2 linked regions of the Astyanax mexicanus genome follow. The protein of the gene in region 1 interacts with the protein of each later gene in a biochemical or structural test. Links are inferred from orthologs where the notes say so. Each region holds a gene or a part of one and is shown on either strand. Other genes may lie near its edges. The genes, in order: cabin1 and mef2d.

Evidence for each region.
Region 2: the proteins of cabin1 (region 1) and mef2d form a complex in vitro, tested with the Homo sapiens proteins (2 studies listed by BioGRID). The link is inferred for Astyanax mexicanus from reciprocal best matches to the Homo sapiens genes CABIN1 and MEF2D.

What each region holds. Positions count from the first base shown.
Region 1 is NC_064419.1:22,924,675-22,931,775, forward strand, and holds the start of cabin1 (calcineurin-binding protein cabin-1), read left to right. Parts: upstream 1-4,085; 5' UTR 4,086-4,170; intron 4,171-4,245; exon of another isoform or gene 4,246-4,504; intron 4,505-5,766; 5' UTR 5,767-5,810; coding exon 5,811-5,813; intron 5,814-6,375; coding exon 6,376-6,471; intron 6,472-6,586; coding exon 6,587-6,700; intron 6,701-6,798; coding exon 6,799-6,933; intron 6,934-7,101. Other genes in the region: cep78 (centrosomal protein of 78 kDa), read left to right, coding at 33-467. UniProt on the Homo sapiens protein: May be required for replication-independent chromatin assembly. May serve as a negative regulator of T-cell receptor (TCR) signaling via inhibition of calcineurin. Inhibition of activated calcineurin is dependent on both PKC and calcium signals.
Region 2 is NC_064413.1:40,264,915-40,273,001, forward strand, and holds the start of mef2d (myocyte-specific enhancer factor 2D), read left to right. Parts: upstream 1-5,008; 5' UTR 5,009-5,277; intron 5,278-8,087. UniProt on the Homo sapiens protein: Transcriptional activator which binds specifically to the MEF2 element, 5'-YTA[AT](4)TAR-3', found in numerous muscle-specific, growth factor- and stress-induced genes.

The sequences.
Region 1 (7,101 bases):
TTACGTCATAACTTTCTGTATTTATTCCACAGAAAACAGACAACCCTGAAACAGCATCAAGACTTCAGATGAGCAGACCCTGCTCTAGAACTTCTGCTGCCTCCAAGCATTCTCCTCATGTTCAGTCACCACAGGAGCTTCCCTTCAACCCACCCATTCACTCCAGCACCCCTCCTGCTCCACTGAGCCAACCTGAGGTTGCACAGCAGCAATGGAGTTTCTCCCCACCCCAAACTAGTATTCACAGATTTTCTGGTTCTGAGAAAAGTCGGGACAGTGGAGGTTCCAAGGGAGGTTCAGGGAGTTCAGCAAGTAGCATACACACAAGCATACACAGCAGCAGAGTCTCCAATTCTTACAGAGACGACTTCTCTGACGGGAGGGTTTCTCCTGCTCTGAGCTCCAGATCTTCAACTGTCTCAAACGTTGAGAACCAGAGGAGTGCCACTGGGTTTGCTGGATTATAGAGCCCAGCTCCATTTGTAAAATGCATTTAGACTGTGAGCTTCAATGCTAAGTGCCATTGTTTACTGATGATCGCAGTTTTTAAAGAAATAAGAAATGTCAGAAAAACTTATTTTTCGCAATATAAGGCTTACCATTTTATAAGGCGCACTATCAATTAACTATTTTCTGGTCGATTTCCATACATAAGGCGCATTTAAACAGACTCTATGGAACTTCTAATTTAGCAGGTCAGGTAAAGCTAAGCTAAGTAAACAAAACTGTAACAAAAATACTTTCTTTTAAAGTGAAACGAGTGCTGGATGTTCACCTATACAGATTTCTCTCCTGAAAACTGTTTATTAGGCTGAGTATAGTGCTTTCGTTTACAGTAGGCTTAGATTCCCCAATTTCTCCAGCAATAAGGCTGCTAAGAAGCATTAGCAGCGAGCCACTAGCAGTTAGCGGCTACTGCCACCCAGGAACACTACACTGAGTCACCCTAAGTGCTCCAGTAAGCCAGGGCAATATTAGCTAGTGGTTCGTCCCACGTAGCTTGTTTTAACACAGTAAACACGCAGACCACAGTCCGATATACTTACCTCTGAATGACAAACGTTGTAGCGCAGTTAGCGGCTAATGCTAATGCTGCTCCAGGTACAGTCCGATAATACTCACCTATGAATGGGGAAATAGCGGCTAGCAGCTAATGCTAATACTACTCCAGCCTCGGTGCTGGAGAACTAAACTGAAACTCCTGTAATACACTGTACTTCAGCGGAGTGGCTTTACTGCTCCTTACAACCTGACTGGTAAAATTTATACATAAGACACACGGATTAAAAGGCGCACTGACCATTTTTGTGGAGAATTAAAGGAGATTTTAAGTGCGCTTTATAGTGCAAAAAAAATATGCTAGTTCTGTTGGCTATGCTGCTGTGTGCAATTTTAGAAGGAGTCTTCTGTTGAGCAGATGTATGTCTTTAGACATCTTTTAGTTGATGTTTAATAGTATGGCAAGTCTTTTTGGTCTTAAATGCCACCAGTAATACAAATGTAAAATTTATCTGTTTAATTCTCATATTTAGGGTTTCTGTAATGCAACCAAATTTTCTCCCCAATTTAGCTTAGCCAGTCAATGTACCCACCCACTACGACCTCCACTTATCACTTAAAATGTTTCTATGGCTGGGAGGGTCTGAACAAGTGCATGCCTCCTCTGATACACATGATGTCATCTACCACATCTTTTTTAACTGTTTCCAATGCAGCATTACTAGGCATTCAACTCTGAATGCTTTACAGAAAGCACTCTGATGCATTTTAACCACAGACCCCTGTATCGGCCACCATCACAATGGTGGTGATGATGAGGAGGAGGAGGAGGAGGAGGAGGAGGAGAGAGGGACCACCATCTACTAACCCAGAGAGAGCCGGGTCAATTGTGCTCACTTAGGTACCTGTAGAAACCTGTAAAGGATATTTTTATAGTCATATTGACAAGATCACATATCTTTAATTTCATATTGGCAAGGCATATCTATAAATTAAATCTCTTCGATTTTCATTTGCACTAGTAAATTGTTTTTTCGTGTGCCATTTTGGGCTAAAACTGTTTGCCAAACAAGTGTTAATTGTACTAATTGAAAAGCCATTTTAAAAGCCATTTTTTCAGTCTACACTTTTAACTGTGTAAAAAAGCAGACTGAACGTGTTTGAAATGTAATTTACATTTTCTGTATAACAGATTTTAAACGCAGGGTTTGTTTTATTTATTTTTTTATTGCTGTTTTTTAAGTGTGAAAAAAAATCGGTCACCCAGTTTGTATCCTTTATTAACTTTTCATAGACTGTGAAAATGAATTTCTTGTGAATAAATGGATAACAGATACAATATGTTGCTTGCTTTCTTAATTGAACAACATTTACATTGTAAGAAATGTCCACAGATTTAAAAAAAAATGATTCAATCAGAGAGGCTTGGTGTAAAATGAGGCTTTGAAAGAAAATAACAGACTTGTTTTTTTACTCAATCTTTTGGGTGACTTCAGTACTAATTTACAATGAATGGAAAAATATAAGAAAAAAAAACATTGAATAACAAGGTGTGTCCAAACTTTTTACTAGTACTGTATGCCAATCTAGTACCTGTATCCTCTTCCACAGACATGCTTTTACACATTACAGTGTGCGGCGTGTGGTTTTGCATTGTCTGGTTGAAAAATGTGTGGATGTCCAAATAAAAGATGTTGTTCTTGGTCAAGGGTCTTTCTGCATGAATAATAAATCAAAATACATCACTTGAAATTAAAAGTAAATTTAAATTAATTTAACAACATTTTCTGTGAGCAGCATGTGTGATTTTGAATCACAAAACTCCTACTAAATATTAACCATTTCATGCAATAGCTACTTTTCATGAGGTAGCTTATTTTTAATACTGTTCTTCCACAATATTATGAACAATTCCGAAAGTTTATCTAGTCAGAGCTAGCTGGCATATCACACTTTAAGCCCCTCTGAATAATTTTGTTTACAATCGTATAACTTGTTAACTTAGTTAAACAGCCAAACACCCTATATATTTCAGAGGGGCTCCCGGGCACCGACGTGGCTGGAAAAAAGTATTCTGCTGTAAACAACTGTATGTATAAAAACTATAAAATAAGACACATTAATACTTTAAAAGTAAGAAGTACATGCGCTAGAACCTCAATAAAGCGGGTAACATTTTTCAAGGTGTAATTTTAGTAGCAAAGTTCATATAAGATAATACTACAGATATCTTATATTAGCAATACATATTTCAAACATTACACATGTATCTACCCAACTTAGTGAGTGTGGTGAGACTAGACAACCCCAATAAACAAACCAGTCTGGACAGAATAATGTGGCTTTATATAAACGGTATGGCAATTCATTAGATCAGCTGAACTCAGTCTATTGCACGGAGTGGAAAACGGAGAGAAATCACGAAATAACGTGGACACTCTTTTTACAACAGAAGTAAAAAGTCGCCGACCCAAAGAAACAGAGAAACGAGCGCAAACGCAAACAAATGAATCCTATCCGCCCTTACGCCATTCCTCCAAATCAGCAGCGCCCCCTCGCGGCGGCTTGTTCGCGTGAATGGAGTGGTGCATTTGTGTGTGGATCAGGTGCAGGAATGCAAAAGGAAAGTCTCAAACGCCAAAATACGCGAGAGGAAATGAACAAAAAAACAAACGTGATCCACAAACTGCAGATGCACACTTTATAAATACATTTTAAGTTTGAAAATATGCAAGTACATGTAAAAGAAATGCATTCAGTTTTACATGCAAATTATGATTTATACATAAAAACTAGAAAAGTGTATTTATGAGTTTGACAGTATTTGTACCAATTGCAGGTCGTGAGACACAGACTGAAATGTATTTATTTGTGAGCAGTGAAATGTATTTGTGGTGTCTGTGTAATTAATGGATTATTTTTTTACACATTTGTCAGGAGTTTTGAGACTAATCTCTATCCATAAAATTGCACCGATTCGGCGGAATAGCAGGTAAATAATTGTCCTGGAATAAATGAACATGACGTCTCAGAGTCAAATACAGAAAGCTAAATCAGCATTGGCTGCTTTCTGTGGCGCCTGTGTTCTTTCAGCCAATCAGAGCGGCCGGTATTAGATGTGCCCGTTTGCCTGCAGATGCTTTCTGGTGCACAACTTGCGTCTCTGAGCCGGTAAGATTTAATCCATGTATTAAAAACAGACATATATTCCTGCAGGGAATATCAACATGCTGCAGAAACCGGCTTTTTAACACTGAGAGGGGAGGAAGAGAGCGTTATATGGGTTAGCTAAGCTAGCGTTAGTTAACCGTAGCTAGCGGAACGTTAGTAAGAGTGAATGGGACTGTAAACAAAGAGTGTCGCTGTGGGAGTTAATAGCTAGCTGGGTTAGCTAACCAGCTAACCGCTAATAACAATACTTTTATATCGTTATATAGGTTATTTTAGCGTTTTTAATAAATTGCACTAGTTGACACTGACTACAGGAGCTTCGCTATATTATTAGGTAAGGTAGCTAACAGTAAATACTGTTTGAAGCCAGTGTGTTCAGTAAAAAGCTAGTTATGAAGATGACACTGACAGCCAAACTATAGCTTAACCAACGTTAGCCGTTAGCTGATATATTTTAATTTTTACTACAGTGGTGCTCAAAAGTGTCTTAACCCCTTAGAATGTTCTATATTTCTGCATAATTTTGACCTAAAACCTCAGCCAAACCTCACACAAGTCATAGAACAAGTGGCGAGGCGACCCAGGCGACCCAGAAAAAAACTAACAAACGAGCGAGGTATAAACATTAGACCAGCAAACAAACATGAGTGGCAAAATAATGTGCCAGTTTAGGATTAGCATTTTAATTGGGATGACACTCATGTGTGATTGTGCAGTACCCTCTTTTATGTAAAACAAACAAACAAAAAAGCAGGGATATTTTAAAGTCTGATCCTTATCGTAGCACAAAAGGTTACAAAGCCATCTCTAAAGAGTTTGGACAGACTGTGTGAAAACTGAAGGAAATTTAAGACAAGTAACTTTTGTTCTAAGCAAGGCCTTTTCACATTTGCTAATGTTAATGTTCACGAGTCCACGTTAAGGAGAACGATAAATACCAATTTTGTGTGCATAAAAGGAATAATGTCTTGTGTATGGATGAGATAAAAATAGAACTTTTTGGTTTAAACGAGAAGTATAGGTCATTTTTTGTCTGTTCTTGTGTTCTTGTGACTCGTAAAGCATCATCAGATGCAGCCCAAGTACTATTCCATTTAGAAGATCACAGTTAGCCAAGTACACAACAAATACCTGGATGGGTTTTTGCTCTGCCCACGTTATTGAGGATGCATGGAAGGTGACTTGTGTGAACTTCTTACAGTCCTATTACCCACAATATACCTCGCAGCCGGTGCGGCAAATCTGAAACCAGAAACATTTTGTTGCAGTTTTTGGTGCACAAGGAATGTCACACCAGATCCTGAAAGCGTCAAATACTTTTGCCGTTTACCGAAATGTAAAATTGGATTAGATTGGAAGGGGCTCACAAACCATTTAAAGCTACCTACTGTGTTTTTCCTTAGAAATGTTTAATTATTAGTTTGCATTTAAAATGATCTGTCTTGGTTCTGTGAGCTCTGTGGGTCATTTAGGTTCAGCGTAACACTAGATTGCTGATATTGTTAAAGAATATAATAGCAGCTAGAGTTTAGGTAGCCTTTTTAATGTGATAAAGATTGCTAATCCTGTCTTCTGATTCTTGTCATCTTTTTACAGAACCTAATAATTAGTCAGTGGTGATGGTTAACACATAACAAGCCATGGTAAGATTGAATCTGTGTCTTTTAACTGACAATCTTGTTCTCCATAGAAAGATATGGAAGTCCATGCTTTTTGCAACATAATATCTTTTAGACATATAGAAATATTTCTATTTTGGTGACTTCTCCTCAAATGTCTTACTTTTTGCTAAACATTGTGCAGAATAATAAAAAAAAGTTGTTATATATGGTTTATTTATTTATTTATTTTTTTATCTTATTTTGACCGCAACCCATTTCAAGCACATGGTGAACTAACATTGTAAATTACAATTTATGCAACATCATAAAATCTAAGAGTGCCTATATACATGCGTAAATTATGAAATATATAGATGTAGTATAGTAAGGAAAACTCAGTTGTGTTACAAATATGAAAAATCGACATAAGACCTTAAGAGCTTAAGTAAATCATTTCAATATTAAAGTACATTTAATGGCAAATACTTTACATTTAAGTAGAAATACAAAACTAAGGACTTTCACTCGAGTTCATGGTTTGGTTGCTTTTTTTTTTTCATTAAAATGTTTATTAAATTATTTGCTAACTTCATTTCTTTCACAGATCCGGATAGCTGCTCTTAATGCAGCCTCTCAGACTGCAGATGAACATGAGGATCACTTTCGAAGCGCTAAACCCAGTCAGACCAAGGAGGCTCAGGTAAGTTTTGCTTTCTGTAATCTTGATTAACTTTGTGATGTCACTGAAAGTTTCTTTCTATTAAAATTGTCTCCCCTCTGTCAATTTCCATCCCCTGTTCTTCACTGTTCTGCAGGAGGCAGAGGCATTTGCCCTGTACCACAAAGCTCTTGACCTACAGAAGCATGACAAGTTTGAGGAGTCGGCCAGAGCTTACCATGTGCTTCTTAAGACACCGCTGCTTAGGGAGGTAAAAATGTGACTCTTGCTGTTTGTGAAATTAGATGAGGCTGTTTTGCTGATATTTTTGTAATTAACAATATGTCTGTTATTCTGGATTTGTTTCAGGCGGTGGCGTCGGAAGATGAGAAGGTCGGGCTCAAACACCCGGGGTTAATGCTGAAATATTCCACCTACAAAAACCTGGCCAGTCTTGCTGTGCTTAGGGATGACCTGGACACTGCCATGGACTTCTATGTGGAGGTGAAATCTAACAAACTGATCACAAGTATTATGGATTGTGGATGGATTTATATAGCTCTGAAAAAAAAATGACTTAATTTTTTTTTTTTTTTTTACCAAATTAAAAAACCTCTGGAACCATCAAGAGGAAGATGGATGATCACAAACCATCAAACCAAGCTGAACTGC
Region 2 (8,087 bases), on another chromosome or scaffold:
GTGACTTCTTTGTTCAGCGATGCCTCTCACTGAATTCCATCCCTGCTCTTGATTGCTGTACTTATAGACGCTGATTGTGGGGGTACAGCTGATGGAGGCGGGAGGGTTTGTTGGCTTTGTTTCCATAGATATGGGATGTTGCTAGGCAGCAGACGGGATGCTATGGAAGCCAAGCAAAGCAGAGCAGCGGGTCACTGCAGAGAGGAGAATCTGCACCCACACACCTTTCATCTGGACTAATACACTCAGGAGAAACGGAGAGAAGAGAGCGGAAGAGAAAGAGTCAGAGACGGTTAGGCTCAAACACCATTAAAATCTGTTGACGAATATGTATGAGAGAAAATAATGACAATTCTTAATGAGAAAAGCGAGCCAGAGAGAGAGAGTGAGAGAGAAAGAGAGAGAGAGAGAGAGGAGAAAGAGCTGGTGTACTTATAACATAATCATGTTATACACATATCAAGCATAACATTATGACCTACATCCATTATCCATTTTTTCAGCTCCACCGAGCGTATTGGATGCTTTGCAGTTTTATAATTAGTAGTGCATCTGTTTCTATGCATACTTTATGATCCACCTTTCACCATGTTCTTCAATGACAAGGACCCCCACAGAGCACCTATTATTGAGGTGGTGTGTCATTCTCAACACTGCAGTGACACTGGAATGGTGGAGGGGTGTTAGTTTGTGGTACAAGTGGATCAGTTTCTAAACACTGTGCCCACCACTGGCCTCAGGCACAGTGCCAGTAGTTGGTGTTTATCTGACAGTCCTATTCTATTGACAGTAATTTGTGTGTCTGCATTTGCACATCAGTGTCAGCAGTGGTGGTAATAGTGGTGGTATATAGATTTACAAGTGTATAGATTTATAAGTATATACACTTTAATACATATTTCAATATGCAAGAACAGAAAAAAACAGCCTGAGAGGGATAAACAAACAGACAAAGGGATGTAGAAAAAGCGAGAGGGAGAAAGAGAGAGAGATGCATCTGACTAAAAGAAAAGCAATCATGGAGGTACTGTAGAATCTGACCCATTTCCATTCTCTGAGGGGAGAGATTTGGAGCAGATGTTCTAGCACACACAGGGTGTCAGGCTGAAGGCTCATGATAGCCCATCACACTGCAGTCACATAACCTCAGATTTAGGTCAAACCAACGCTGAAAAAACTCAAACCAGTACCTTAAACACATCTCTGTCATTTGTGTAAGATGAAGGTAAAAGGTCCTAACACACACTGTGCTGGATCAATGTATTTGTTCAGAATCACATTATTTTGTTACAGAAAGACGCAAGAGCTGTTTTGGAAGTCTAAGCTGCGGTTGGGGTAGGACAAGTCCATGGAGGTACTGGCCTATGAAGAGTATTTCTCAATAGCATGGTGGTCACACATTAGGAACATTCTAACCAGGGCCAAATTTTGTTTCTGCCCCCCAAGCACAATGCTAGCAATGAGTATTTTTTAACTGATCTCAGAAAAAATCTCTGTACCAATCATTAAGCCCATTTTCCTGTGCAACGTGAAGATATTTCCTTGCTTATTTCTGATTGGCTCTTTGCGTCATATAAAATCGGCAGCGTTCAATCAGAGATGTTCTTGTTCAGTACAGCAGGTCCTGTCAGTGTGAACATTAAAGGCAGGGACATACAAGGGTGAATTAAACACTTCTTTCAGTTTAAACTGACTTCCACAAGGTAACGTTTGCTAAACTGTGGTGATTTGTTGCTCAGTGTTACTGGCTTGTAGCTTGTAGTATTAGCAGCTAGCTGTTAAGAAAGCTACTAACTTGGTTAGTAGCAGCAAATCTTTCCTAACACGGACTTAACTTGATACCCCTCTGCATGTATTTTAAGTTTCATTAAATAAATATACACTGTAGAAAACACTATAATGTGTCATTTTCTGTTGAAGACATATGCTACATTTTTATTTCTTCAATTTAGCCAGTATTATTAGCTCTGGCTTTAAAAATATGACTAGCAATATGCCCACCCATTATGTTCTACTGCCCCCCTAAGCAAAGCAGTCTAGAACTAGAGCTGATTCTAACATGGCTTTGAGGTGGCATCACATACAAACTTCACACAATGAAACTGAGGTACGAAACTTAATAATTTGTAAAATTTAAACTTGTGTAATAATTTACAATAATTTGTAAAAAAAAAAAAAAAGAATCAACTCTGCACCAGAGTCTTTGTTTCCCACCTTTTTCCATGTTGCTGTTTTTTCATTTTCCCCTTGCGATGAACATACCCAGTGAATTGTGGGTAACCAAGTACCGTGAAGGATACATCAGCTGCATACTTCAAATCATTCCAAATGTTGACTGCATTTCTCAGCTGTATATGAAAGATGTGTCACTTTGAAATAGCCTTCAAATACGTAGCAGCTGAGAAATGCAGCCCACCTACAAAGCAGCTTGGAGAGAAGCTTGGAACAGAGTTAACTGTGTTTCCTTTTATAGTGGACTCAGGGGGAAACAAACTACAAGCTCTTCTATTATTGGCTGATTTGTGTCACTGCAAAGGTTCATGAGAGTTTGTAGCACTGTATCAAAAACATTGTTTCTTGTAATTATTTCCAAGTTGTTTGTGGTTTGCTAGCAGAAGCAGAAACTGTAGCCCGTTAGCTAGGGCTGGCTTTTAACCAGGCATCCACCCCCCCCCTCGAATTTGTCTTCCCTGCCCAGGCTGGCATTTCTGAGTTCCCCTTATGAAGGCTTATAAGAACCGTGGTGCTTTTCAGTGAACCAGCCCCTACCTCATATCATACCTCATTAACAGAGTTCATTGCACAGCAGCGGTGCTCCTGTACAAACAGACATGACTGAACATTCCTGGTTACGGAACCTACTTTTGTTGGTGGAAATGTGGTGAACCGGTTCAAAATTATGTTCACAAACCAGAACGGTGCCAGTTTCACATCAGTGAAAAAGAGATATTAGAGACACGCCAAAAGGACATACTTTACACTTTATATTTCTGTAAAAGCTGACAGATACAGAACTGGCATCTGACGTGAAAGATTGTCCTACGTGTCTCACCAGAGATGCATAGAGCTGTTAGAAGTGTGCTGAGCCTGAAGTAACTATGGCATAAGATGCTATTCTGTCTATTTACGCCAGTGGATCATTTGTATTAAAATAGAAATGCTACATAATGTTGCTTTCAATATAATCGAATGTCACTAAAAGTGAAATACATCCAGAATAACAGGGACAGGTGCACTATAGAAAAAATAGGCACTAAATTATGATAGCTAATGCAATTGCATTGTTGGGACACATAGGTTTACAAATTACCAGCACCAACAACCAACACGCCTCCTGATTTAACTCTCATCATACAGAAACTTGATCATTTATCAATGCCACCCTATTGTGGCCCTGTTTTTAACAATTTAAATTTTCTAATGTGTTTACCCACCCTAGGCTGAAAATGATTATGATAACTTGCTCTAACTTTACCTTTTGTATTTGTTGTCATATGCATAGGGGTTTCCACTGTTGCATGCTGTCCGGCACACTGTCTGCATGTAGGAATTGAAAGATCTGAGAGAGGGCAACAGGGAGCCCATCTGCTTGCATTAATTCCCTTCGACAAAACCCCCAGTACATAAGCTCCTTACATAAAGAATAAAACAGAGAGTAAGCGCTCTCTCTCTTTTTCTTCCTCTCTCTCTCTCTCTGTTCCTTGCTCGACCTTCTCATTCATCTTCCTGATTACCCTAATTTAATTTCTCTTCTCTGTAATGTATTCACTATAAGATAAATATAATTGCTGCCCTTTAAGTAGGCTACTCGAATCAGGTGTTTACTTCAGATCTAAAATTAATTAGTAGTGTTGTATAGTGCAATGACATCCTACATTATTTACAGTATTCCAGTTTGATTTTATCACATATATAAGCTATTTATTGACTTGACTGACAGATGGATATGAAAGAATTTAGTAGTTCACTTTTTAAACAAAAGCAAAGTGGAGTAGCTCTATCTGTCTCTCTGTCTCTCAGCTGAACAGTGCTTTAAACATGCTACTACAGCTTTAAATGCCACTTCAGTGACCACTTGGCTCAGGCCGTGACGTAGCCAGCTTCAGTGTGTGTGTGTGTGTATTTGGGGGGGGGGGGGGGGGTAAAATATGGCGCAAAAGAAATCACGCAATTTGTTCTGTAGCCTACTCTATAACAAATACCCTATCTGTACGCGTGCTTTTATAGAATCGTATTGAAATCCAGTGAGCCTGTTTAAGAAAACTACGTAAATATCTACGTAACTCCTCCACTTGCCTCAGCGCTGGCAACTCTCGCGTTTTAATTTTTCGGGCGCATCACTCCCTTTCGCTCTGTAAACACTGTATCCCTCCGCTGCAACGAGGCAGTAGCGCTTTACGTCATTTTCCTTCAGCGTGCCAGGATTTGTTTTCCCTTCGGTTCAAGACATTAAAAAGCAACTAAAAAACATTTAAATGCTAAATTTACATCAGAAAAATCATTTTTATGTTTTTATATATACAATCGAATTTGAGAGAGGTGAATAATACTTTTCAGCTCAGTAAATTCTCTTAAATGAGCAAAATCAAGCAATAATCGAATGTTCTCTCGTTTAAAGCCATTACTTTACAACTAGCTGGGTTATAATAGGTCTGATGTTGGATAAAGTTATTATATATTTTGTGATGTTCACAGAACAGAATACACAGACATAAAGAAGAATATATTTTATCACGCAAAGCAGATATCACAGCACACACACGCCGTATGTATATTTAGAAATCACAAATATTGATAAAAGTATTAAAAATAAGTGTACACACACATACGCGAAAATATGTACACAGACCGGCGGATGAATACAGGTAGCTCGCTATAGCTCCAGCATGATCTCTCAAGTCCTTCCTATTTCACCTTAAACCCTCGCCTACCGACTTTGCCTTTGCGAGTAAGCGGCACGATTCCTTGGACGTGATTGGTTGGAGCCGATTCAAGCCCGCCTCCTATTGGCCCGCCGTGTGTCAATCATACAGCAACGCCAATCATGGTAGACAGGACACCTTGTACAGTGTATCATTTGGCTGGGCAAAGCTAGCTAAACAATTATCCTATCTAGAGCACCAAGGGGAGAGAGTTTGGTGATTGATGATGAACTTCGGCTGGGCTTGATTTAAAAATATTGAGGATTTTCATTCCCGTTTCTCCTCAGGCAACCGTTTACAGGTTTTAGGGAAGCTCCTCGTCACCTTACAGATGTGGATACAGTAGCTACTCCGGGTAAGTGACTCCAGCTAGGCTGGTAGTTAGGTTATATTAGCTAAAGCTAGCTAAGCTAACTAGCTTTCTTCGTTAGCTCTGCGTTTATTTAGAAAATAACGGGTTTAAACTCTTAAACTGCCTCTTTTCCTTTTATACGTATAGCTGGCTAGCTAACTAAGCTTTGTGGATGTGTCCCATTGCTGCAAATAATTTCTCCGGTGTTGTGCTGGGATGGATTTCAGCCCAAAATGGAGGACTAGCTCGCTAGCTTAGCTGAGGTTAGCCAGCGTTAGCTAGCTGGCTGACTGGCTGGCTACCGTTGCTAGGCTAGCTTGCCATTTAGCTAGCTAGCGTTAACTCGCCTGTTGTCAAGGGGTAGCTTATCTAGTTACTGGCCCGGTGTTTAAAGACAGCTAGCTCCGTTAACTAAATAGACTGTTTCCTAACAAACACATTTTTCCTGGACGTTTAACTGCAAATAGTGATTTTTAACTCCCTAATATGAGGCTGTAAAGCCGGGCGCAGGCTGTGTGTGCTGTGTTTTCTGGTGCGCAACAGACAGACAGCGGCGGACAGAGACAGCCGAGTGTCAGAGATTTGGTGGCGGTTGTTCGGACCTGTCAACACGCTCTTACAGTTGCAGTTACCTACGTTTTCTGTGTTTGCTTATCTCTGAAACTAAAAACAAAACATCCTAGCTAACCTATGTGTATGTACTCCTTCCTGTACTCCTTATTTACATCCTAAATACTAACTATAAATGTTTATACTTGTATTCTAGGGTATTTTTAAACAAACGCGTAGCTGGCACCTTCCGTGTGTCTAGGCAAAATAAACGTTAGTAATAAATAACGTTAAGGTAAAAATGTTGATTATTTTTTAGTTAATACACCACGCCAAAACTTGGTGTTGCCTACGCAGTGCTGCCACAAACCAGCAGCACTCTCAATTTTTCTCTGTATAAGTGTTATGCAACAGCATGTGGTGTCTGTGTGTGTTTTATTTGGGTGGGTACAAGTGTTAAAGAGCTTGGTTAGAAACTTTTATAGTTAGTGTTCCTCATTGTATAATAACTACATCGCTCTTTCCACCCCCTTTGTGATGTGCTAAGCCTTACTGTGATGTTAGCACCCACACTCTTCACTGTCATGCAGAAAATATCTCCAAAATTGTTATTTTTATGATTAGAGATACGTTCAAGTTCAAATAGCTGAAAAATAATTCTGACTTCAAAAGCTAATTCTAAAATGGGCTGAAATCTAAAATATTTAAAGCTTTCACTACTAGAATAGTGTGTTTTGGAAATGTACAGTGTTATGTCTAAAACATAATCTTCAATACAATGCTGTTCATACTAGTCAATGTTTGTGACTCAATGTTTTACTTGTTAATTTACTTAAAAATTAAAATTAAATTATTAAATTAAATTAAGATTAAAAATGTAATCATAGATAAGAGAGAGTAGTATTCCATGTAAATCAGTGGTAGCGTATGACTAATCAAAATCATAGTATAGATATGGTTTTATACATCTGTAGATCTAATATTAATAATATTAGTAATAATGGAATATCAGTTAGAAACACGTATATTTGGTGTCTTTTTAGACTAAAACAACTTGCCGTACATTTATCCCAGACAATGATTAAACCTAGTCCTAAACTTAATTTTTTCTTTCAATGAGAAATCTCCATTTAGAATTTTGACTAGACTTAATCCTTTTCTGTAAAACTGCCCCATAATATATCTATTTGATATCTGATAGTTCTCTACATTGCCCTAAAATTCAAGGATGAGTGAACCAATAGAAATGATTCAAATTTGACTTTAATTTAAGTCTATTACACTGACTTCCATTTATTGGAAAGGAAGTGTTTTCCTTTCCCCTGTGAATTTCTCATTTTCAAGATACAAGGTTTTAGCCTGACAGCAGTACAGTTTGCACTTTAACCCACATGACATTTTGACTGCTTCCAGGTTTATTTATGTGTTCGTTTATGTGTTTAGGTTGAATGGCCTCAGTGGCCTCAATTTTGAATCCTGGCCTGTCCTAAAGCATGCTCAGAATGAGTGAAGCCCCTCAGTCATGCAGTCAGGTAGTGTGTGCGTTGTGATTCGCAGCAGGGTGTCACATGGCGACTGTTTGGTCCCTAGAGCCTCAATCCAGTTACTGGCACCCACCTGGAGTGCTGTAGTGAGCGATATAGATCAGACTCCTATCCAGCGCACGCCGCTGCCTACAAGCTAGTTGTTTGATGTTGTTTTGCCTGTTTTTAATGTTCAAAAATGAACAACAGTAACATCACCGGACCCTGATGAGGATAAGCTGTGCTTGTTAGTGGTTTGTCGGAGAGCAATTGCCATGATCAATTGCTGGGATTGATCATGGCACTGAGAAGAGAACATGCTGAAATATCACTCTCTTACTCTCTGCTCTGTGTTCTTGCCAGGTTTCTTCTACAGTACACAGACCTTAGAAGCCATGCATGTTGGCGTGTTGCCTAGGCAGGAAGACATCACGCGAGAGTGCCTGATTTACCAAAACATTAGTGATTCATTGCTGACAAAACTTGGCAAACAGCTGGCGTTAATGATGTTTCAGTTATTAGTCTTGCATTAATTACCTTGTTTCTTAGCCTGTTTGTGCTCTGTCACGACACAGTGGCCTATTGGAGACATACTGCGTCTAACTTTCTGGTTATATAGAAAATATCTTTAAATTTGTTGAGTGTAGAAATGAGTGAGATGTTCCATTCCCTTTCCCCCCCTCTTTATTGTCCATAGTATAGTGTTAGTATGGACACAAGGGAAAATTAGGCCACACTGAC